4 linked regions of the Yarrowia lipolytica genome follow. The protein of the gene in region 3 binds, or shares a complex with, the protein of the main gene of each other region. Links are inferred from orthologs where the notes say so. Each region holds a gene or a part of one and is shown on either strand. Other genes may lie near its edges.

What was found.
Region 1: YALI1_F12089g (region 3) and YALI1_F32167g share a complex: the UniProt entries of both Saccharomyces cerevisiae proteins name them as parts of the condensin complex. The link is inferred for Yarrowia lipolytica from reciprocal best matches to the Saccharomyces cerevisiae genes YCG1 and SMC2.
Region 2: YALI1_F12089g (region 3) and YALI1_C26408g share a complex: the UniProt entries of both Saccharomyces cerevisiae proteins name them as parts of the condensin complex. The link is inferred for Yarrowia lipolytica from reciprocal best matches to the Saccharomyces cerevisiae genes YCG1 and SMC4.
Region 4: the proteins of YALI1_F12089g (region 3) and YALI1_B04937g are in contact, whole or in part, in a cryo-EM structure (PDB 6YVD), measured with the Saccharomyces cerevisiae proteins. The link is inferred for Yarrowia lipolytica from reciprocal best matches to the Saccharomyces cerevisiae genes YCG1 and BRN1. Residues at the interface, in NP_010612.2 of Saccharomyces cerevisiae: Gln215, Arg245, Asp246, Val247, Gln661, Glu741, Gln745, Phe749; in NP_009455.3 of Saccharomyces cerevisiae: His495, Tyr496, Leu497, Leu498, Asp500, Phe504, Phe513.

Annotation. Positions count from the first base shown.
Region 1 is NC_090775.1:3,212,754-3,218,378, reverse strand, and holds YALI1_F32167g (uncharacterized protein), read left to right. Parts: upstream 1-1,594; coding exon 1,595-5,113; downstream 5,114-5,625. Other genes in the region: YALI1_F32204g (uncharacterized protein), read left to right, coding at 1-305. UniProt on the Saccharomyces cerevisiae protein: Central component of the condensin complex, a complex required for conversion of interphase chromatin into mitotic-like condense chromosomes.
Region 2 is NC_090772.1:2,638,885-2,646,460, forward strand, and holds YALI1_C26408g (uncharacterized protein), read left to right. Parts: upstream 1-1,965; coding exon 1,966-2,985; intron 2,986-3,236; coding exon 3,237-7,037; downstream 7,038-7,576. UniProt on the Saccharomyces cerevisiae protein: Central component of the condensin complex, a complex required for conversion of interphase chromatin into mitotic-like condense chromosomes.
Region 3 is NC_090775.1:1,206,994-1,212,478, reverse strand, and holds YALI1_F12089g (uncharacterized protein), read right to left. Parts: upstream 3,514-5,485; coding exon 529-3,513; downstream 1-528. Other genes in the region: YALI1_F12080g (uncharacterized protein), read left to right, coding at 4,471-5,485. UniProt on the Saccharomyces cerevisiae protein: Regulatory subunit of the condensin complex, a complex required for conversion of interphase chromatin into mitotic-like condense chromosomes.
Region 4 is NC_090771.1:491,000-495,740, forward strand, and holds YALI1_B04937g (uncharacterized protein), read right to left. Parts: upstream 2,724-4,741; coding exon 504-2,723; downstream 1-503. Other genes in the region: YALI1_B04947g (uncharacterized protein), read right to left, coding at 3,565-3,713, 3,756-3,873; YALI1_B04950g (uncharacterized protein), read left to right, coding at 4,027-4,741. UniProt on the Saccharomyces cerevisiae protein: Regulatory subunit of the condensin complex, a complex required for conversion of interphase chromatin into mitotic-like condense chromosomes.

The sequences.
Region 1 (5,625 bases), about 2.0 Mb from region 3:
CGCCTCCCAAAACCAACTACGATGATTGGGTCGAATTTGGAACGCGCAAGAATAAGCGTAAGGCCCCTACTCAGCAGGAGCTGCTTTCCCAGATTGTTGCCAGCAGAAACACGATTCCCACACTGTCTCTATCGAGCCAGGCTCCTTCGCAGCGAGCATCTTTGGCTCCGTCCAGCTCCCATCGCTCGTCGCTAGCTCGTGTTGCCTCTCAGGACACGAGAAGACAATCTGCTGGCCCCTCCGGTTCACAGGGCGGGTCTCAGAAGCGTTCCAAGCGAAGAAAGACTCTTGGAGGTTTCCGCTAGTATCTGTTTACTGTTCCTGTTTACTTGTATAATTATTGCATTTCAAAAATGGAGCGACGAGATAAGTAATCGTAGCTACTTAAAATGAGATTGAGACATGACTCGAGGACACGAATCCAAGTACAGTACGCATATTCTAAGGGTACGAGTTACAGTAAGTGTCGGTTCGTATCTGTTCAGGATCAACAAAAAATGGCGACGTCCGCAGGATTCGAACCTACGCGGGGAAACCCCAAGAGATTTCTAATCTCTCGCCTTAACCGCTCGGCCAGGATGCCTGAAAAATCTTCCGATTTTTGAAAACGTTAGGCAAACATTGTGCTTTCTGCTTAGTCACGAATCATTAGAAAAGAAAAAAAACGTTTGATTTTTGTAATTAGAATAAAAAAAAATGGCGTTCGATTTTGGTGTTAAGGAGTTTCTACGCCCTTGCTGTAGTTAGGAATGAATATCGGGCACTTACACGTGTAAAATGTACTGTATATTTCTTGTCACACACAATTGTGTAAGTACTTGTCGCGTGAGTTAGACATCCTATACAACTCCAAATCAAGATGTGGTAAACAAGCACAACATCCAACACCTGCCCACAGGCCCCTGGTTAAATAAAAATAAAAAGTAAAGAAGAAGCTCCACAGGGGCTCCAAAAACAACGCCCCATCGATCTTCATCGTCAAATGATTTTTTTCTTCTTCTCCTTTTCTGTTTTTTTTCCTCAAGCTTCAGGAGAACAGCTCTGAGCCCATCATACAGCAGTGATGCGATACTTTCCATGCCATTTAGTAAAGAACAATAGAACACACACTTGCCACTTGGTAAGACGTTCTGAAAATCAACTAGGAATTTTGTTTATTCTAGTGAAACACGGTTTTTTATTTTTATTCTAATGATTCATTACAGATTCATTACAGTACAGTAATCACGTGACCCGAACCACTTTTGGAATAAGAAACGGACCCGAATCTGGCACATTTCGGGCAACCTGGCCGAGCGGTCTAAGGCGCCAGGTTAAGGCTAACACCTTAACGAATATCCTGGTCTCTTCGGAGGCGAGAGTTCGAATCTCTCGGTTGTCATTTTTTGCTGCAATGGAACCGACTACTTGTAATGTGTAGCCATTGTTTTTGGTAACAGAACGCACCTATAATCAGTACTTCAACTACTTACGAGTAGCTTTCGCGGCGAATTAAAGTGTAACACTCAAAACTCTAACCGTTGCTGGGACAACAGGTCCCAAACACGAAACACGCTTAACGTTCTTTTTCTAAACCACACCTCTCAACACCTAAATGAAAGTCGAAGAGCTCGTAATCGACGGCTTCAAGTCGTACGCCACGCGTACAGTCATCTCCGGATGGGACCCGCAGTTCAACTGTATCACCGGTCTCAACGGTAGTGGCAAGTCCAACATTCTGGACGCCATTTGTTTCGTGCTAGGTATCACGACCATGGCTACTGTTCGAGCTCAGAACCTCCAGGATCTCATCTACAAGCGAGGACAGGCCGGTGTGACCAAGGCAAGTGTCACCATTGTTTTCGACAACTCAGATACCGCCACTAGTCCTATCGGGTTCGAGAAGTACGCCCAGATCTCGGTGACCCGTCAGATTGTGCTTGGAGGCACGAGCAAGTACCTGATCAACGGTCACCGAGCGCAGCAGCAGACGGTACAGCATTTGTTCCAATCGGTCCAGCTCAATATCAACAATCCCAACTTTCTGATCATGCAGGGTCGAATCACCAAAGTACTGAACATGAAGCCTGCCGAGGTGCTGGCTCTCATCGAGGAGGCCGCTGGAACTCGAATGTACGAGGATCGAAAGGAGAAGGCTCTCAAGACTATGGCGAAGAAGGATGCCCGGCGCCAGGAAAGTGCATTGCTTTTGGAGGAGGAAATTAAGCCCAAGTTGGATAAGCTGCGACAGGAAAAGAAGTCGTTCCTCGAGTACCAACACACCCAGTCCGACCTCGAGCGGGCTATCAAGCTCATTGTGGCACATGACTACATCATGTTGACCCAGGGTGCTCAGGAGATGACCGCCGCTATTGAAGCGATTGTTGCCGAGAAGGAAGCAAAGGCCCTAGCAGTGGAGCAGAACACACACGAGATGGGCGTGCTCGAGCAGGACATTGCCGAGGTCAAGGCTCGTCAGGCAGCCGAGGCGTCTAAAGATACGAATGTTTCTGTTCTTCAAAAGCAGGCCAAGGCTGCCTCCCATGAAGTGGTGCGTCTCAACACTACAATCGACCTGAAACGGTCCCAGCTTACCGAGGAAGAAGATTCACTAGCCAGTCTTGAGGCTACTGATCGAACCGAGGAGCTCCAGAAGCGCCAGGCCGAAGTTGACGCTAGCCAGAGAGAACTGGACGCTCAAACACAGCGTCTTGACTCCATGACCAAGGCTCTCGAGTCCAAGCGTGAACTGCTACAGTCGCTTCAGACCGGTATCGCATCTTCGGCCGGTAAGGAGTCTGGCTACCAGCGCCAACTTGCTGAGGCACGTGAACAGGCCAATGATTCTCGTGTGGCAATTGATCGTGCTCAGATGCGAATCTCACATCTGACAGAGGCTCTCAAAAGAGACGCTCCCAAGGTCGCCAAGGCTGAGAGCCAGAACCAGAGCGTGCTCGACAAGCTGGCTGGTCTGCGAGAAGCCAAAGGAGCTCTGGAAGCTGAAGTGGAGCGTCTTATGGCTGTTCCCGGAGCCGACGAGGACTGGACCGGAAAGGAGCGCGAGTGCATGTCGCGAATCGATGCTCTTTCTGCTCGAATTGACTCCGAGAAGCGTCAAGCGTCGTTCTCCGAGTTCACCTACGCTCGTCCTCATGCCAACTTCTCTGCTTCATCCGTCAAGGGTTTCGTGGCCGAACTGCTGACCATTGGAGATGAGAACATGGACAAGTGCATTGCTCTGCAGGTTGCTGCTGGAGGCAAGCTGTTCAACGTTGTTGTTGACAATGAGATCACCGGTAAGGAGCTGCTACAGCGGGGCCGACTCAAGCGACGAGTCACCATGATTCCTCTGAATAAAATTGCTGCCGAAGGTCTAATTTCTGCGGAGCGACTCGCCGTGGCCCAGCAGGTGGCCCCCGGCCGGGTTGGACGTGCCCTAGAGCTAGTTGGATACTCCGATGAGGTTGCTAAGGCCATGGCTTATGTTTTTGGCGGCACTCTTGTGTGTGTAGATACCGAGACCGCAAAGAAGTGTGCTTACCATCCCCAGATTCGTGCTCATTGTGTGACTCTGGAGGGAGATCACTACTCGCCTGAGGGTACCCTTTCTGGAGGCTCTCAGCAGCGAAGTGGAGATCTTCTCAAGAAGTTGACGAGCATCAACAACCTTACACAGGAGCTGGAGGAGGCTCGATACGATCTCAGCAACATCCAGAAGTCCATGGCTCAGTTTTCCAAAGTTATCTCTGAGCGACGACAGCTTGAAAACCAGCTTTCAATTCGGGAGCACGAGATCAAGACCGGCGAGAAGCAACTGGAGTCTTCTTCCAGTGCTTCTGTTCTGCGAAAGAAGCAGGAACAGGAGGCCGAGCTTCATGAGCTCCAGGAGTCCCTTCCCACGCTCAACCAGAAGCTTGAAGACGCCATTGCTCTGATTGGAACTATCGAGAGAGACATGGCTGACTTTGGAAAGAACAAGGGCAGTAAGCTTGAGGAGCTGGCTGCTTCTGTCGAAGAAATGGCTGCTGAAGTAGCTCAGCACCGGTCTGTTGTTGACGAGGCCTCAGCTGCCCATGAGGACATCCAGGTTTCTCTCGAGCAGTTTATGTCCGACATTACTGGTATGAAAGACGAGGCCGAGGCTTTAAAAGAGGCAATTCAGGCTACCCGAGGCGGCCTTGCTCAACTGGAGACTCAGCAGGACGAGGCCCGTGCTCTGGAGGCTTCTCTGACCCAGCAGGTTGAGGAGATGATGGCTGCTCTGCATGGCATGGACGAGGAGCGACGATCTTTGGAGGCTACTCTTCAACAGAAACGAGACTTCCATGCCGATGCTCTTGTCGCTGCAAAGGAGGCTGAGCATCTTCATACCCGTAAGATGAAGGAGCTGGAAGATGCTTCTAAGGGCGCCACTGCCATGGAGGCCAAGTACAACTGGGTCGCTGCTGACGCTCACCTGTTTGGCAAGCCCGGATCTCATTATGACTACGAGAGTGTGGACATCAAGCAGGTGCGACGGGCCGCTGGCCAGTTGGAGGAGCGAATCAAGGGTCTCGGACACAAGGTCAACGACAAGGTCATGAACATGATTGACAACGTTGAGAAGAAGGAAGCGACTCTACGAGGTATGATCAAGACCATCGAGAAGGACAAGGTCAAGATTGAGCAGACCATTGTGTCTTTGAACGAGTACAAATGCAAGGCTCTGACCAAGACGTGGAAGAAGGTGAGCGAGGACTTTGGTCAGATCTTCGCGACTCTGTTGCCTGGCTCCTTCGCCAAGCTGGTACTTCTGGAGGGCAAGGAGATTACCGAGGGTCTGGAAATCAAGGTCATGCTGGGTAAGATTTGGAAGGAGTCTCTGGCGGAGCTTTCTGGAGGTCAGCGATCTCTAGTTGCTCTGTCGTTGATTCTGGCTCTGCTCCAGTTCAAGCCTGCTCCTATGTACATTCTTGATGAGGTTGATGCTGCTTTGGATTTGAACCACACTCAGAACATTGGTCATCTGATCAAGACGCGATTCAAGGGCTCGCAGTTCATTGTTGTGTCGCTTAAAGAGGGATTCTTCAGCAACGCCAACCGAGTCTTCAAGGCTCGATTCCAGGAGGGCTCGTCGTCCGTCATTGCCATGTAGGATTTATGTGGGTTGTATTTTAATGTATTTATATGTATTCGAGTGTCTACCATGCTGTACAGTACATACACTCATATAAGTGCTAATGCTGAGCATCACGAATGAAAAATGATACAGGACCCAGTACCTACAGAGAGGCTGTACCATTAATTTCATTTTGATACATGAGACCTACAACGGAGTAGCGAACACTTATGTACGAAGATGTTATCTCGCAACACACCCAAAGCTCTAGACTCAATGCAATTGGAATTAGTCAGGTCTTAGTGTCTCACAGTCTACTTGGTTTCCTACTGGCTGGTGTGTGTCTCTTAGGTTTAACGGCGGTGAGGAAAGAGAAGCCAGACAAGAGTGAGACAGGAAGAAGTGTACAGTATATACTGTACATATTGTTGTTTGAAACGTGTATAAGAAACGTGTACTGGGACACGTGTAATTAGTAAATAGCCTTGAGACATGGTCCTGGTAGTTAGAGGCACATCACTGCTATGTGTGGCAACAGGCTCACTCCG
Region 2 (7,576 bases), on a different chromosome or scaffold from region 3:
AGACACCAAGACGTATCAGGACACACTCAGCCAATGGTTCTTCAGCTTGGAGTGCTGAGACCAGTACTTGCACGACTTGCCTTAGAACTGCTTGTTGCAACATGGTACTTGTACTTGTACACGTAGTCGAGCTTGTAGCGTACAGTACTCGTACACGTAGTCGAGCTTGTAGCGTACAGTACTCGTACACGTAGTCGAGCTCGTACCGTACTCATACCCTGCCTCTGCTCCACTCGCACCGCCAACTGCTCCATCACTCATACCTACATAGCTACCCCGAACCGTTACCATGGAGACTGGCGATCCCAATATACCCTGACGGTCCACATTCCACGCTAAACCAAACTGGATTCCTATTATTCTCACTGTACAAAGTCACATGACGGTGGATGGATGACAAGGACGTCGGATGTACGTGCTGTAGAGATAACAGCCTGGATTCATCTCGGGTGCAGAATTGCTGTGCCAAGCGGTCTGCCAGGTGGGTTCTTTGCGTGGTATTATTTCCTTGTCCAAGAGTTGTTATTGTTGTGCTTGCTAGATGTATGGTGCATATCAAGTGCTGAGAGTGTATCGGAGAGTCGAATTCAGGAGACCGAGTACAGTACAAGTACAAGTACAGGTACGAGCACAACAACATGCCAATGGTTAACGGCTGCGTTCCGGACTCACTTTTCTTTTCCAACGACCTCAGCCGTTCACGCTAATCCCACGCTTAACGCTGAGTTTGGAGCATCGTGGGCGTGCCAGTGGCTTAATAAGCAGATAAACGAGGGGATGTAACGGTAGAAGGCTCAATGCGGCGGCTCCGACTGTTTTTATGACTCGGTGTTTTGTGGATTTCGTCATCTTAGCAAAGATCCCTAGTACGATTACATAATCAACAGGAGCACACTACTTAATGATGGTACTGTAGACAGTGGACGCGATTCATCTGAATATAACCGGAGCTGGTTTGACAACGATCCATATCAACGACCCATATCGATGGATGCGCACGCACAAACAGAACATCCATACATCTCGCGACAAGAGCACCAGAACACCTCAGTTTGCCAATCCCGCAGCGTACGCTACAACTTCTCGTGCATTAGCGAGCTTCCGAGCAGATGTAAGAGTAATACTCGAGATAATATGTCAGTTACAATTGTACTAACCAACACATCCACTTTTACTGTGAATGTTCGACAAGCCAACTCTCATCTTGTGCTTCCTACAGTAATCAACCATACATTTTCAAAGTAGGACTCAATAGACAGTTTCCAGCCACAGGATTTCTTGATGTCAGACTTGCGACCATACCACTATCAAATTCCGATCCAATTCCCATACTCGTACTAATGAACACATCTGGAAACGTTTTCCAAACCCCCCAATCTCCTCCACAGTCGACCCCATAACTGTCACTATCAGATCCAGCCGCACTGCTTGTACATACGGTACCTCGTGAACTGTTTGTACAAGTACAAGCCGCTGAAACACGAAAAAAACCTATAAATACCACCAAAAGCAACTCTTCATCCATTCACCGTTCTTGCTCCATTTTTCCCATACTTGAACTCGTAGTCGTACGTAATCGCACCCATTCCTACTCTCCCACATTTGACACACTGTGAAGACCCCACTCTTCCAGTCGAAAAAAATATACAGCAAAAAAAGTACAGTATTGACCCTTGTGGGACGACCCTGAAACTGTAGTAAACCAGAGGTATATCACACTTGTAGTAATACTTGTAGTAATACTTCTGCAAACCACGTGACCAAAACATTCACTTCGTACACCCATCCACCGACACCAAGCATGCTTCCCCCTCCACCAGCTCGTGTTGCCAGGACAACCAGGGTTAGGGTTTCACTTCCTGTCTCGGACGCGTATTGTATATTGGGTAAACAGAGGTTGACGCGTCTGTCAGAAAAGTACATCTACAATCTTTCCACCACATCGACACACATTTCCACATTCAAATGGCCCGACTCAGCAGTGCGCCTTCCAAGCGGTACTCGGCCTCGCACCGCAGCTCGATCTCGCGCGTGGAGATTGAGCAGCAGTTTTCAGAGGAGGATTCGGATGATTTGGCGGTGGCCACCAAGAAGAACTTGAAACGGTCTTCTCGACCCAGAGCACACAAGGTGGTTGAGAGTGAAGACGAGAGTGAAGGGGAGGAGGAGGAGGGAGAGGAAGAGGAAGGAAGTGATACCGCAAACGCCAACAACACAAACATTACCCATGATTCTGCAGATGTATCTATTGATCATGATGAGGATGAGGATGAGGATGAGGATGAGGATGAGGAGGAAGAGTCAGAAGACGAATTGGTGGCTTCCAAAACCGCCAAGCGAGTTATTGAAGACGAGGAGGAAGAGCAGGAGGACATTGACATGGAGGGCGATATGAGCGTGGATCATGAGGGTGACATTAACATTGCTATGGGTGATGAGAATGTGGGTGGGGGTGATATTGAAGGTGAAGTGGCAGCCATGGAGTCGTCACCCGTGAAGAGAAGCCCTCTTGCAACCCGTACATCCATCTCGGCCAACAATGCCTCTCCTAACACCTCCAACATTGTGTCCAATCCCAGCCCCAGTCAAAAGGAAAACGTCATTGTAAAGAAACGTGACATGACACCTGATATGGACACCAACGCCGCTACAGAAGATGCCACCACGCCAAACACGCCCTCCAGAGCTCCTCCCTCGTCCATGCCTGTTCCTTCCCCCATGCAGGCCAATCTGACTATTGATGATGGAGCCCCCGATGGCCTGCCTCTCCCCAGGGCATCCGAAGAGCCCGACGAGGTCAAACAGGAGGAGCAGCTGAGCCACGGCATCCATGCGCGGTCGCTCATGCAGCAGCGCGCCACGTCCATGCAGCAGCATGTGATCAAGACACCCGACGAGCCCACTCAGCGGCTGACCATTAGCAACTTGGTCCTTACAAACTTCAAATCCTATGCCGGACGACAGGAAGTTGGTCCTTTCCACAGTGTGAGTATAGTGGAGCAAGCTGAGCGATCCGAAGGATTGCCTGGCTTTTTTTGTGGTCACTTGGTTTAAATGACTGGACTCGGGTGCTTATTGGTTTCAAGTGTCTACTTTATTCAATAGCAACTTGCGTTTCATGATTTCAAGTGCTATTTCGATCTCAAAAGCCTTTTATTAACATGGCTTCGCATGCTTGTCCCGAACCGCCATGCTGAACCACAATGTGGTCCGTCCTGAAAGCCATACTAACCCAGTCATTCTCCGCCGTAGTTGGCCCCAACGGTTCCGGCAAGTCCAACGTGATCGACTCGCTTCTCTTCGTGTTCGGTTTCCGAGCTTCCAAAATGCGACAAGGCAAATTGTCCGCTCTCATTCACAACTCTTCCAACCACCCCAATCTCACGTTTTGTTCCGTCGAAGTCCACTTTCAGGACGTGATCGACGAGCTGGACGGTACCACCTCTGTGGTACCAGACTCGACGTTGGTTGTGGCGCGAAAGGCCTACAGCAACAACACGTCTGTGTACACAATCAATGGTCGAACGTCATCCTTCACTGAGGTGACCACACTATTAAAGGGCCGAGGAATCGATCTGGACCACAAACGGTTCCTCATTCTGCAGGGAGAAGTCGAAAGTATTGCCCAGATGAAGGCGAAGGCTGAGGGCGACCACGACGACGGCTTACTGGAGTACCTGGAGGACATTATTGGTACGTCGCAATACAAGACGCCAATCGACGAGGCACAAGTTCAGATCGACTCGCTCAATGAGGTGTGTTTGGAAAAGAAGGGTCGTATGGAAATTGTGGAGAAGGAACTGAACGGTCTGTCATCCGAACGTGACGAGATTGTCGGCTACTTGCGTCTCCAGAACGAGCTGACTCACAAGCAGTCTCTGTACTTCCAGATTCATGCTCAAAAGTGCCAGAAGGTGATCACTATGAGCGAGCAGGTTATGGCTGAGATTGAGACGCAGTTGGCGGCAGAGGAGGAGAGAAATGCCGCTAACAGAGTCGAAATCAAGACTCTAGAGGACGGCGTCAAGTCCGAGGAATCTGTGCTTAAGGGTCTGAAGAAGGCCCAGTCCAAGCTGGCCTCTATTCTGGCCTCTCACGAGAAAGAAAAAGTGCAACTGGAGGAGCGCAAGAAGCACATGGAGGCTAAGGCGAAGAAGTTAGAGAAGACAATTGCTTCAGCTGAGTTGTCGCTATCCTCTTCTGAGTCCTGGATCGAGGAGTACGACAACGAGAACTCCGGCAACATTGAGCAGCTCAAGGTATACGGCGAAGAACTTGCCGAGGCCGAGGCTCTCATGGTTGAGATTCAACGGGATCTGGGAGACAAAACACGCCCTTTCTCCGAGAAGATTGACCTGCTCAAGCAAAAACTCGATCCCTGGAAGCAGAAGATTGTTGCCAAAGAGGGAGAGGTCAAGTCTGCGCTCAACAAGGTCGAGCTCGAGGAGGAGCGACTTTCCCGGGCTGAGAAAGCTGTCAAGGACTCCGAGGCGTCTATTCAGGGCATCAAGCTGGAGGGAAGGAGTCTGGAGAAGAAGGTGGCTCACTCGGAGAAGGAGAAGGAGCACGTTCAGAACCAGATTGAGCTAGGAGAGCAGGAATGCGAGCACGCCAAGGGAAAGCTAGCAGACATGAAGCAGCGCCTGGACGACATGCGTGCTCAGTACAACGACGCCAAGGAGTCGCAATCATCTTTGCAGTCTCGTGGACGGGTTGTAGGTGCTCTGATGAAGCTCAAGGACTCTGGACGACTCCCTGGCATTCATGGCCGGCTTGGAGATCTCGGTACGATTGATGCAGAGTATGATACTGCCGTATCTGTGGCGTGTCCCAAGCTCGACAACATTGTGGTTGACACGATTCAGACAGGTCAAGCCTGCGTGGAGTATCTGCGAAAGAACAATCTAGGTACAGGTGTGTTTCAGCTAATGGACAAAATTGGCAATCGACGTCCCAAGAACTTTAACACTCCAGAAGGTGTTCCTCGGCTAATCGATCTAGTGAAATGCGACCCCCAGTTCATTCCAGTCTTTTATGCAGCCATGGGTGAGACTCTGGTTGCGAAAGATCTGGACCAGGCAAACAGAATTGCCTATTCGGGTGGCCGGTACCGAGTCGTGACTCTGCAGGGCCAGCTTATCGCGCGAAGTGGAACCATGGCTGGCGGAGGACATGTCAAGCGGGTTGGTCTGATGGCAATCACCGGTTCAGAGCGATCTACCGCCAAGGCTCTTTCGGCAGATGAAATGCGAGCTCTGGAGAACGAGATGGAGAACGAGGAGAAGCGGTATGGCGTGGCCAATACCACCTATCACCAGATGGTAGCTTCTTTGCGGGACTTGAAGGAGCGGCTTCCTCAGGTCGAGGTCGAGATTTCCAAGGTGGGTCTTGAGATTGAAGCACTCGCTCAAAACTACAAGTCTTCCGACCGACAACATAAGGAGCTGCTTGTGGAGTTGGAGGGTGTGCAGAAGAGTTCTGTACTTGCAGAGGCACGTGATCATGTTGCCACTCTTGAGGCAGAGGTTGAGGAACTTAAGTCACAGTGTTCTTCAATTGACGAGGAAATTGCATCTCTCGAGGAGAAGATTATGGAGACTGGTGGTCTCAAGCTGCGAATGCAAAAGTCCAAGGTCGACGGACTGGTTCAGAAGATTGAGATTGTGCAGGGCAAGATGAAGACCGGTAACAAGGACCGGTCCAAGGCCCAGCACAATGTTACTAAGCAACAGCGGGTCATTTCCGAGTCGCAGAAGGAGCTGCAGTCATTCCAGGAGGAGTGCGCTCCTTTCCAGTCCAAATTTGATGCTCTGGAGCAAAAGGTGGCTGAGTGTGAGACCGAGTCCGAGGAGGCCACCAAGGCCATGTACGAGCAGGAGGAGCGGGTATCTGCGCTACGAAATGAGCTCCAGGAAAAACAGGCAGAGATTTCGGAGCTGCGAAAGGCAGAAGTCGAGCTAAAAAACTCGCTGCTGCAACACAAGACCAAGGTTGAGGAGGAGGGAGCCAAGAAGGCACAGTGGGTCAAGCGACTGCAAGGCTTGGCTATTCACAACATTGGCGAAATGTGTGGCCAGCCAGATGAGCCAGAAGAGACGTCCACGCCTCTCGTGGAGTACTCTGAGGACGAGCTCCAGGGTTACAGTGTCTCCGAGCTCAAGGAAGAGATTGTCGGTTTGGAAAACTCGGTCGAGGGCATCGACATCGACTTTGCCATTCTTGAGGAATATGCTCGACGGGCACGCGACTACGAGACTCGTCGTTCTGCGCTCAATGAGGCTGTGGAGGAGCGAGAGCAGTCGTCCAAGCGACTGGAGGATCTCAAGTCCAAACGACTGTCTGAGTTCATGTCTGGTTTCAACACCATCTCCATGAAGCTGAAGGAGATGTACCAGATGATCACCATGGGCGGCAATGCCGAGCTGGAGCTTGTGGACTCTCTGGATCCTTTCTCCGAGGGTATTCTCTTCTCGGTCATGCCTCCCAAGAAGTCGTGGCGTAACATCTCTAACCTTTCCGGCGGAGAAAAGACGCTGTCTTCTCTGGCTCTCGTCTTTGCACTCCATCATTACAAGCCTACGCCTCTGTACGTGATGGACGAGATTGATGCTGCTCTGGACTTCCGAAACGTGTCCATCGTGGCCAACTACATCAAGGAGCGTACCAAGAACGCCCAGTTCATTGTCATTTCGCTGCGAAACAACATGTTCGAGCTAGCTCAGCGGTTGGTTGGTATCTTCAAGGTCAACAACATGACCAAGAGTGTCACCATCAAGAACGTGGAGGCCGTGGAGGCTGCTGCCGCAGCGGCAGCAGCAGCGAAGATCCCTCCCATGACACCAGGTCCCGGAGGACGTGGAGTTCCAATGACTCCGGGGCTGCACAGGACGCCAGGAACTCTACACAGAACTCCCGGGCACCTGAGAGCTCCACCCCCGAAGTTTGGAGCTGGAATGGGTGTTTCTTCGACGCCTCGAGTTCCCCAGACTCCCCGAGTGCCTCACAAGGCTACTCAGGCGGGATTCGTTGAGGGATAGTGTATGAATATTTATGATAATTAATGGATGTATATTAGTGAACAGTGGAGAGAACGGTGGGGGAGTTAGTGATGTATATGATGGTGTAGGTCTATATGAAGGCGAATTGCTTGAACAAGTTAGGGTATTAGAACGGTAACACGATGTTACTACGGTACGGTACGATACGATGTGCTCTTACACGACGTCATTAACAACCACTGTTGGTACAACTGGTGATTGTGATATTACAGACTCACAATTCCAAGTACTCACTCTATACCATGTGTCTATAAGTACAGCACATATTCTACTATAGCTACCGAAAAGCATCGTATGTATGTTGATGGTCACAATGTTGAGCCATTCTGTATACCACGGGTTACTATTTGTAGCGTGTATGACACTGGTTGTAAATCACGTATATGACGATCTTGCTCCAAGTGCCAAGTACATACTCGCACGGGAAAGTTCCATATAACCGAGTATGTGAAACAGTCTTGCTGGACCTGTTTCTTTCTTTGTGAGACAGAAGGAGGAAGATCAAGTGAATGACGTAG
Region 3 (5,485 bases):
CATGACGCAATCTCAACTCATGACGTATTCCAGCCATTTCCAGGCCATATCGGCCGAGTTGGAAACTTTTCGTCAAACAAACCCAAACATCGTAGGTTAGGCCGGTTGCATGCTCCTTTTCTAGGACCACCCCGGTGATCAACAAGTTCACGGGTGGCCTGGTGTCAGTGAGAGTATTCAGATAGTTGTCCAAATATCCAAACTGGTCTGCGAAACTGTCCAAACTGCTCGAAACTTCTCTCCAACTCCCCAAAACTGTCTCCAACTCATGTAAAAACTCCCCCAAAAGACATCGCAAATCTGAAACAACCATCGTGTTCAGCAAGAGCACAATATTGCTCATGTGTCATATTATCTACACTTTATCCAAAGATGACGTAGCTGGTTAAATCGTGATACAAGTCTCGGCACCAGTATCTCCTTCAGACAACTCCTAAATCCATCTCTATCAACTCCCTACTCCAACATCACCAAGTAGATATCCTTAACACCCATTCATTATTTAAAAATACATACATTATCATCTCTTCACATGTCCATCTCAACATCACTCTCATCTTCGTCACTCTCATCTTCGTCACTCTCATCTTCGTCACTCTCCTCACTCTCTTCTCTCTCATCTTCGTCACTCTCCTCAGCCTCGTCATCGATGCCCGAAACTGTCGACAGCCGACTCTGGCGTCGTCCTATGGGACTTCCAACCGCATGACTTCCAATAGAAGCCCGTCCAATTGGACTTCCTCCAACAGAAGCTCGGCCAGCCGAACCTCGGCCAAGAGGACTGCTGCTCATAGAGCCCCGGCCGAGAGGACTGAGTCCAAGAGAAACCCGGCCCCCAATAGACACCCGACCTCCAACAGAACCCCTCAAGCTAGTGTCTCCACTAGTCTCATCTTCAGGGTACTCGGGGGCCTCAAGTGCATCCTCATCCTCGGGAACAGTATGTCTTAGAACAGTGGTATCAGCCTCCGCGTTCTCCCCTTCTTCAGCTACCTTCTCATCATCCTCCTCTGCCTCCTTCTCTGCAACGCCATCCACAACTCCCACAGGCTCCATGTTCTCCACTGACGCCACAAACCGATTAAATGCGTTCAAGGACACATTGTCAATACCCTCGATGGCCTCGTGACACCGAACAACAGCCTCCTTCAGCTTGGTCAGCTCCTCAGCCGTCAAGCCGGGGAAATACAGCTTGGTCAACGCAGACGTGTACGCCCTGTGCTCGGCTCGCTCCCGGCACTCACTCAGATACGACAAGATATCGAACGCCAGATCGTAGTGGACACGTGACGTAGTTTCTGTGGACGACTGGTTAGTAATCGACACCACACGTCGCGGATCCGTCCAGTCCAAAACCTGCTGCATCATCTCTGTGGCACCGGTAAGAGGATCATCTTCAATATCCTCCAGGTGACGCAGAATTCTATCGATAGCAGGAATAGCCACCGATCCAAGCACCTGCTGATTCTCGTCACGTGAGTAGGCGTACACAGGAATGCAGAAAGACAAAACCTGCTTCAGAGCACCGTTGGAAGCACTCTGTGGGTCAAAGTAGTTGAGAAGGATACCCGCCAGAAGATCGGGGTTGGAAAAGACGCCACAGAGAAGCAGCTTGAACAGTCCTTCGGCGGCAACAGCCTGTAACTCGGGGATGTCGGCGTTCTTCAACGCCTGGTAGTACAGCTTGTGCACACTCTCAGAGTCCACTTTATCGGGAAGATCGAGAACTGAACGACCATGAAGAACCAAAATATCAGACATGATCTTAAGAGCTTCAACCTTGAACTCAGCCTCGCCCTTGTGAACACAGTGTCCGAAAACCATGAGATTGTCCGACGCTTGTTCACGAGATAACAGAGAAAGAAGACCCAGGCATCGTAGACCCCGTTCACGGATTGTAATCACATGAGAGCGAACTGAGGGAAGAACCAAAGAATCTAGTAGACCGCTCAGCTCGACATTCGACTCCAGAGACGTCTCCACCTGCTCAAGCACCGTCTGTGTGATAGCCAGACACCGCAAAGTGGTACAAAGCACTCTGTCTGGGTCTTCAGACTCACGTGCAATGTCTTCGATATCCACCACGATTTCAACCAGCACCTGGATGAAGTCTCGCTCTCGGGTGCACAGTTTGTGGAACACGTTGACAACCGCAGACACAAGAGTATCAGAGAGATCTTTATTAGTCAGCGCATTGGTGAGCACGTCCACAATCTTTCGTCGTCCGATTTCATCACCAAAATCCAGCTGCTGCGCCAGAAGCAAAAGCTGCTCAAGCACAAACTCCCGCTCGGAGTATCCCTCTTCGTCCACGGTCAGATTTTGGAGATCGCGCTCAATAAAGAAAGCAATCTTTGTAACTTCTGGCACCTGGGCGTCCACTAGATCGTCGTAGCCCTTCTTGAGACAGTATTGGGCGTATACACGCGCCAGGAAGGCCGTTTCTGGTGTCAAGGTGTCCCACGAATCTTTGAACGAGAGGTTGGAAACCATTTGGGGCTTCTGGTCAAATATAATCTCGACGGCAGTCTCAGCTACAGTCGAATTGAGCACATCGAGACGCTGCAGAAGCTCCAGGACGCTACCGTCACAGGTTTCGAGCCATTGGGTGACAAGCATCTTTGTGGCTGCCTGTTCCACACTCGTGTCTCGGTCCTTGAGACCCCATTGGAGCAACTTCTCTCGCATGCCGATCCGCAGCATTCGGAAATCACCAATGCTCTTCATGGTCCGTCCATACACCGACCGTCGCGTGATGGAATTGGTATCACGTGCACGTTCAAGAAGATAGGGAAGGGTCTTCTTGGTCACCTTGAGGTTGAACAGGATAGCCCGGCGCACGTCGGCCGAGGGATCGTTCTGGATCAAGCTCAGTAGCAGCTCCTGTAGCTGTTTCTCCTCCGCGGACTCCTCCTCTCCTTCCTCAGCAGAAGATTGGATTCGGCACAGAGCCAACACGGCCTTTAGCCGTGTGCTGGCGTCCTTGTCGTACGACCGCGCAAACATGGAGTCTCGCAGGTCTTCAAAAAGGTCGTCGTCAATGTCACTAAGAGAGTTGATGACGGTAGACAGAATGTGGCAGCATCGGAACCGCACATGTCTATCTTTGGCCTGGGTTCCTCGGAGCACGTGACGAATGAGTGCCTCGCAGAAACGAGACGCCACTGTGCTCTCTTCCTCCTCATCATCTTCATCTTCATCCCGGTCTTCCTCTTCCTCCTGAAGACGTCCCACATACGAGCCGATGAACTCGACCACCTTGTCGGCCGACTTGTCGCCCTTCTTGCACGTGAGCATGCGGTTCACCAGCAGCAGAAACTTGCGCGTGAACTGCTCTTCCATGTTCCACTGAACTGCTCCCTCGTGTAGTTGTTGCATGGACACAATGATCTTTCTCTGCGCCACTAGCGACCGCTGCGCCTCCTGGAAATACTGCCCCAGTAGCGAGTACAGCTTGGCCTCGTTGCGGTTGTTGGCTTTGACCCCGACATGTGTTTTTTTGGCCGTCGTCATGCTGAGTGGTGGTTTGATGTAACTGGCAGGTGTATAGTGATGCGACAAAGGGATGTTTGAACGCGTCAACAAAGGCCGTTGCCACGGTAACCACCCGGGGGAAAACTTTGTATATTGTGCGGGGTTCGATTCCAGCTTGGGACATGTGATTCAGAGAGTGGAAAAGTGGAGGAAAAGAGGACATTTGGGGTTATCAAAGTGGTATAGATGTATTTGACGATTGGTTTTTTTTGGTTTTTTTTTTTTTTCACGTGATATTCGTCCGTTTGGGGGCATGGAACCCCCGTTTTCTTTTACTTGACTTGGTGTAATAGTTTGTTACATATTACTTGACTTGGTATAATAGTTTGTTACGTGTTACTTGGCTTAGTATAAATGTTTGTTGAGAATTACTTTAAGCAGAACAGAACACATCTACAAGACAGACTAGAGAATATATATAGACAAATCCAAGAGTGCAAGTTGTTGCAACGGTCAATTTACGATATTATTATAAAATCAAACTTATTACGCCCAGTATCAATCTCCATTCAAGTCATCTTCTGAACACCATTGACTCTACACTTAACATCGCCAGACCACACTTTGCTATACAAAATATGGTGTTGCTGGTTAGATAAAACAACTCTGAAAAATGCATCTTGTTGGTCTTTTTCCGCTCCATATCATGGTTCTTTCAGATTTCTATTACGTCCACTATTCGTCGAGATAATTCCAAAACACGTAAAACGTGGCCAAAACCAAAAATGAAACCACTGTCATAGCATTTCAGTCTTTAGCAATCTCTTCAAGCCCTCTTTCTTGTTATACAGGCTCTACATAGTCCGCTACTTGTAGGTGCTTCTATCACCCATTAGTCACATGACAAAGCCTAAATAAAAAAAAATCTGCATATGCATATAGGTAAGCCAAAAAATTGTGAGAGTGCAACATATCACAAAAACAGCACACAACACAATGGACGTTCATAGATGCCGTTTTGTGGACTACAATCCGGCCGGAATCACGGCGCTGGCGTTCAGCCGACGCTCCGAGCTGGACCAGAACGCCTCGCCGGACCTGAGACTGGCTGTGGGACGAGATAATGGAGATATCGAAATTTGGAACCCCCGATGGAACTGGCTCCATGAGACGACTTTGCGGGGAGGAAAGGGCCGGTCTGTCGAGGGGCTGGCGTGGTCTGACTCGGGCGACTCTTCTGGCAAGCCGCGGCTGTTTTCCATCGGAGGATCGACCGCTATCACCGAGTGGAACGTGTCCACGGGCCAGCCCAGAGTCAACTACGACTGCCACAGCGGTGTGATCTGGTGCATTGCCGTGAGCGACGACGGAACCAAGCTGGCTGCAGGCTGCGAAAACGGCTCCGTGGTGGTGGTGGATCTGTCTGGAGGCCCTGGTGTGATGGAGCATTCGCGAGTCCTTCAGAGACACACCTGTCGAGTGCTCAGTTTGGCATGGAGAGGCTCGCAGGTGGTGGGCGGCTGTTCGGACGCGCGGATCCGGGTCTGGGACGAAGACGGATCCACCATTGCCACCATGAAGGTCGACACTGCCAAGGGACCTGTGGCACAGGACGACGCTACTCTGGTGTGGACCGTGGCGGTTGTGAAGCGAGCCAAGGGCGATCTGATCGTTTCCGGCGACTCCACGGGCTCGGTCAAGTTCTGGGACTGCACGCACTTTGCTCTGAACCAGTCGTTCAAGACCCACGAAGCCGACATTCTCTGTCTGGCAGTCGATGCAGCCGGAGACGCTGTCTTTTCGGCGGGTGTCGACAAGACCATCGCCTGCTACGAGTCTGTGGGCAAGCGATGGAACCAGACCAACGTGCGGGGCTACAATGCCCACGACGTGCGAGCTCTGGCTACTTACGAGGCCAAAAACCTGTCTCTTCTTGCATCTGGAGGCGTGGAAAAGGTGCTTGTGGTTGCTTCCGTTAACGAGTTTGCTCAGGGCCCCTACCGAAAGTTCT
Region 4 (4,741 bases), on a different chromosome or scaffold from region 3:
ACCCAAAAAAGAGAGCCCGACGTGGGGCTTGAACCCACAGCCTTGAGATGACCTTGGAATAAGAGTCTCACGCTCTACCGATTGAGCTAGCCAGGCATTTTGTTGAAATTTTAGAAATCGTTCCCATCACACTCGAAAATTTTGATCACGTGACCAGAACTAAAAATAGAATCTAAAATAGAATATTAAATAGAATAAAACATCCCGACATTTGGATACGCTCACAAAAAAAATCAAATAAAATCGGGGAAAATGTATATTATTGATAATTAGGTAGAAGATGTGGTTTACACGATGAAATAGGTCACTCGAGGATATTATATAGATGTGTTTTTGCTTTTCATGGCATCATATGGAACTTACAGACAAAACTCCAAGATCACCCAACCCCTTGCCAAAACGGTTTACCGCCCTTCACTCTACAAACGCTCTCATCACTCATCATATTGTACACTCATTATTATATACGATCAATAAATTACACAACTGCTGTCTCAGTCCCATTATGCTCCCAGCTGATCCAGGCGAACATTCATATCCTTGCTGATGGCCAAGTCGGCCAAATCATCCTGCTGGTCGATACTGAGACCCTTCTCGTTAGCCAGATGCAACAGACAGATGAACACAAACGAGGTGGAGATCTCCTGCTTCTGTTGTCGGGGGTACTCGGCTCCCACCTGCTCCACGAGCTGGGTGAATCTCTTCTCCTCCACCTTTGCTGCATCCTCAACCATGTCGCCATTGTCCACCAACTCGTCCACCTTTTCATAATCCATGACTCTCCAAAGGTTGTCCTTCAATTTACGAACATCCACTCGCTTGGCCACCTTGGCGTACGAAACGTACTCTGGATGAGCCTTGGGCAGGCCCAGGAACGACGCATTGTGAGGCCCACCCATATCTGTAGCTCCTCCATAGTCGTCAAAGTCGTCATAGCCGCCGAAATCATCTCCATCGTCGTTCTGGCCAGGTATATCAACAGGTTCAGGTTCAGGGCCCTGAACACCGTATTCTGCCAGCTCCTCGTTGAAATGCTGAGCCCAGAAATGTTGGTCGGCGTCCTTTTCGCTCTGGAGAGTGACTCGATGCTTGAACAGTAGACCGGTGATTCGCTTGCCGGGCTTGATGAACAGCTTGACAAGATTGTCGGTGGAGAAGTGCTCGTCGTTAGGGAGCAGGTTGTTGGTATCAGATCGCTGCTGGGCCTTGGTGAGCGACAGAGTAGACATGTGTGCTGGTCGACCAAACAGCACAGCCTCGTCAATATCGTTATCTTCGGAAATGAAGTCAACTTCGACAGGAGCGGCCTTCTTCTTTGTCTTGTCAGCCTTCTCGCCTTCTTCTCCTTCCTCTCCATCTTCTCCAACATTATCTCTGCTTTCAATGGCCTTCTTCTGAATATCTCCCCGCAGCTTTTGGACCTTCCAGTGCTCAGGGCCGGCCCAGTTCTTCTTCAAGGTGTGATCAAAGTACGCCAGAAGATCAGCCTCGTTAATGGTGGGCTTGTATCGAGGGTCAGAGGGACCCACCCCGCCTGGAATAGCCACATCCTGAGCAATCTCGGCATACTGCTCGTTCATGGGGTTGTATCCAAACTCGAAATCCTCCACGGGACCTCCAGGTCCATCGTCATCGCCTCCTGCTCCAAGGTCGTCAAAACCAATATCTCCAAGAGCGGCATCGTCCAGAATGTCTTCGTCTCCTCCGTAGTCGAGCTCTGGCATGGAAGGTCGGTCATCGAGATTGTCGACTTGCAGACCCTCGGGAAGATTACTAGGGTCCTTGAGAGCAGCCTCGATCATAGCTGCAGAAGGACAGACGGACTTTGTTGCCAGAATAGACAGGTCGGGGAAAAACTTCGCCCCCAGCTGCTGCAGAGAAAAGCTGTCGGCACTATCATCCTCCATGTCTTCGTCTTCGCTAAGGTCGGCAAAATCTCCCTTACTAATCTCCTGGTCGAAATCTCCATCGAAAACCACGCGACCATTCTTGTCGATGCCCAGAGAGTTCATCAGCATGCCCTTGGCGCCTCCCTCATCGAAATCGGCACACATCTTCTTGAAAAGAGGATCGATAGAGAGTTCGAGCTCAAGCTTCTTAGCAGCATTCTCCTCAAAGCTCTTAGCCAGAGTAACTCCTCGAGGACGAACGGTTTTTTTCTTCTTCTCTCCTCCCTCCCCTTCCTCACCCTCCTGCCCTTCCTCCTCGTCGTCTTCATTACCGATATCCTCTCGTCCTTGCTTAGTAGCCAGTCCAGTCAACAATCGACCAGTCTCGGTGGCTGCGGAGTCAATACGAGACGAGTAAATCTTCATACAACCGTCCAGAGTGACGGAAGCACGTTGGAAGTTGATTCCGTCGCCCTCCTTAAGCAGCGACATGTCATGAAAGTAGTCAATGAGCGCGAAATTCCACGAATTCTGCGCATTGATCTTGTTGTCGTTCACCATCTTCATCCACTCCTCAAAGTTGGCCATGATGGGAACTTGGGGAGCAGCATTGTTCAGATGATCTCTAAGGCCCTCGTCAACGTCCTCACCAGCATTGGCGCCAGGAGAACCGAGCGAAACAGCTCCAGGAAGAATACTGAGACGCTTGGACTGTCGTCGCTTCTGCTTCTCGGCAGCGTCGTCGTTCATATGGACCAGTTTTTGCAGAGAAGGCTCGGATTCGCCCTGTTGGAGAAACCGTCCGGAAGACCGTCGTCGAGCTGGTCTTGCCATTTTCGTTTATCTGAATGTTTAGTTAGTCGTGTTGACGGATCGAAAAGTGTAAAGAGGTTTCTGTATATTCTGTATATTTACAAAATAGCCTTCACGCGTTGTTGTGTGCCGTTGTCCTGGCAACCGCGTAAAATAACCCTAACCCGAAGCTTCCGTATTTGGGGGCGGTGCGAAATCTGATGGCGTAGGTAGTAATACAAGCACGACTACAAGTGTATTACCAGCTGTTCGAAGGCCATATTCTAGACAGTTCGAATCGCCTTGAACCACCGCATACATTCCAATGCCCTAACCTGTACCGGTACATTTAACCCATCGTTCAGTGGCTGACCCATCAATAGCGCCGCCTGTTACCCCAGTTGGATGTACGCACGCGGTTCTGGAGATTGAGTTTGGAGGTCAATATGGGAGTGGTCTGGGTCGTCGGGACTCGCTTCACAGTTCATCAGTGGTGATGGATAGAAGGAACCGCGTAGCCCAAGGACTATGAAATTTCGTGATACCAAAAGCGGTTGAGAGAAAGGTGGGGCAATGAGAATTTCGGCTTGTTCCCCAATTGACAATGTGACTAGGGCTAGTCCAGTTGTGCCACATTGGGCATTCAGCAAAGAGGAAAAACGTTCAATAAAGAGGAAAAACGCACAGCCTTGAGATATTGGAACTGGGGAGACTGAATCGGGATATGCAAAGGCAAGGTGAAAAGAGATGGTCGGCGAACTGGATATCTCCAAAATGCGACGTTTTATGGCTGTCGATGCGGTCATTCCTACCATGTGTGACGACCTGTCGAGAATGGCTTTCCAATGATACCCATCATGTTATGATTCTACGCGAGCGCCCTCTAGATCAAGAGCCCTGAAAGTGCACTCCACCACTCAAACAGAGTGACAAGATAGAGTTGACCTCTCCACCCACTCGCCGCGTATAATAGAGGGAATGACTGTGTGTCTTCACATATAAACCCCCTTCTTCCGGTTCCTTCTCCTTTATCTAGTCAGCTCTGGATTCACACACACACGCACACACGCACACTTGGCCTCTTCTTGACCTGTCTGTATAGCCGATATTGCAGACACAGACTCAGATACAGACACAAACACACACAGACTTGTTTCTCAGCATTCTTACTCAGACTAGCACAGACACACATCCTTTCTTCTCACGCCCACTACATCGACCTAGTGGCCCACAGAAACAGCGTTACGGTGCTTCTATCACACATTGTGACTCAGTCTTGGTCAGTCACATCTCTGCCACAGACACAGACACATAATCCCACACCCACCTCATCCCACGACTCCAGATGCAGTTCCTACCCACGCTTGTGCTGCTGGCCCAGTGCCCAGACAATGTGGTGTGTATGCTTCCGCTGAGATCCTTCAAGCTCCGCCTTCTTCTTGCCTCCGCAGTGGATCCGGTCGCGCTCCAGGACATTCACGACGACCTTCCCACCCTGGCCGAGTTCGTCGACAGTCTCCGTCATCTCGCCTCCCTCATCCCCATTGGCCTCCACCTGGCTCGCTCCACCCAGGAGAACCAGACTATCATTGACCATCTTTCTGTTCCGGTTCTCTCCGGCTTTCTCCAGCGGCTCACTATGCCTGCTGTCAAGCCAGTGACCCCCGTGGACGCTGCTCCTGCCGGCCTGGCCCCTACCCGGACCCCTACTGCTCCTCTCGACCTCGAGAAGATTGCTCTGAGCCCAGACGTTTTTGATCATTCACCTATTTTCACTCTCAAGACCCACACCAGCTTCTCCAGCGTTGGGTCTTCTTCTCTCACCGGCTCGGCCTCTAGCTGTACTACCATGGTAAGCTCGCCCACCTGGAACGCCAAGGTCTCCAGATCCCACCTTGCCGAGCTGCTGGACGAACCTTTGGCCTCCAGCACCATGTTCACGTTTGAGAACGAAATCAAGCAGCTCGTCAACGAGCCCTCAGCCGTATTCCTCCTGTCTCTAGCCAAGGCTCAGCTCTCGCCCATGAAGACCCACATTGAGCTCTGCCCTCATGCTTCTC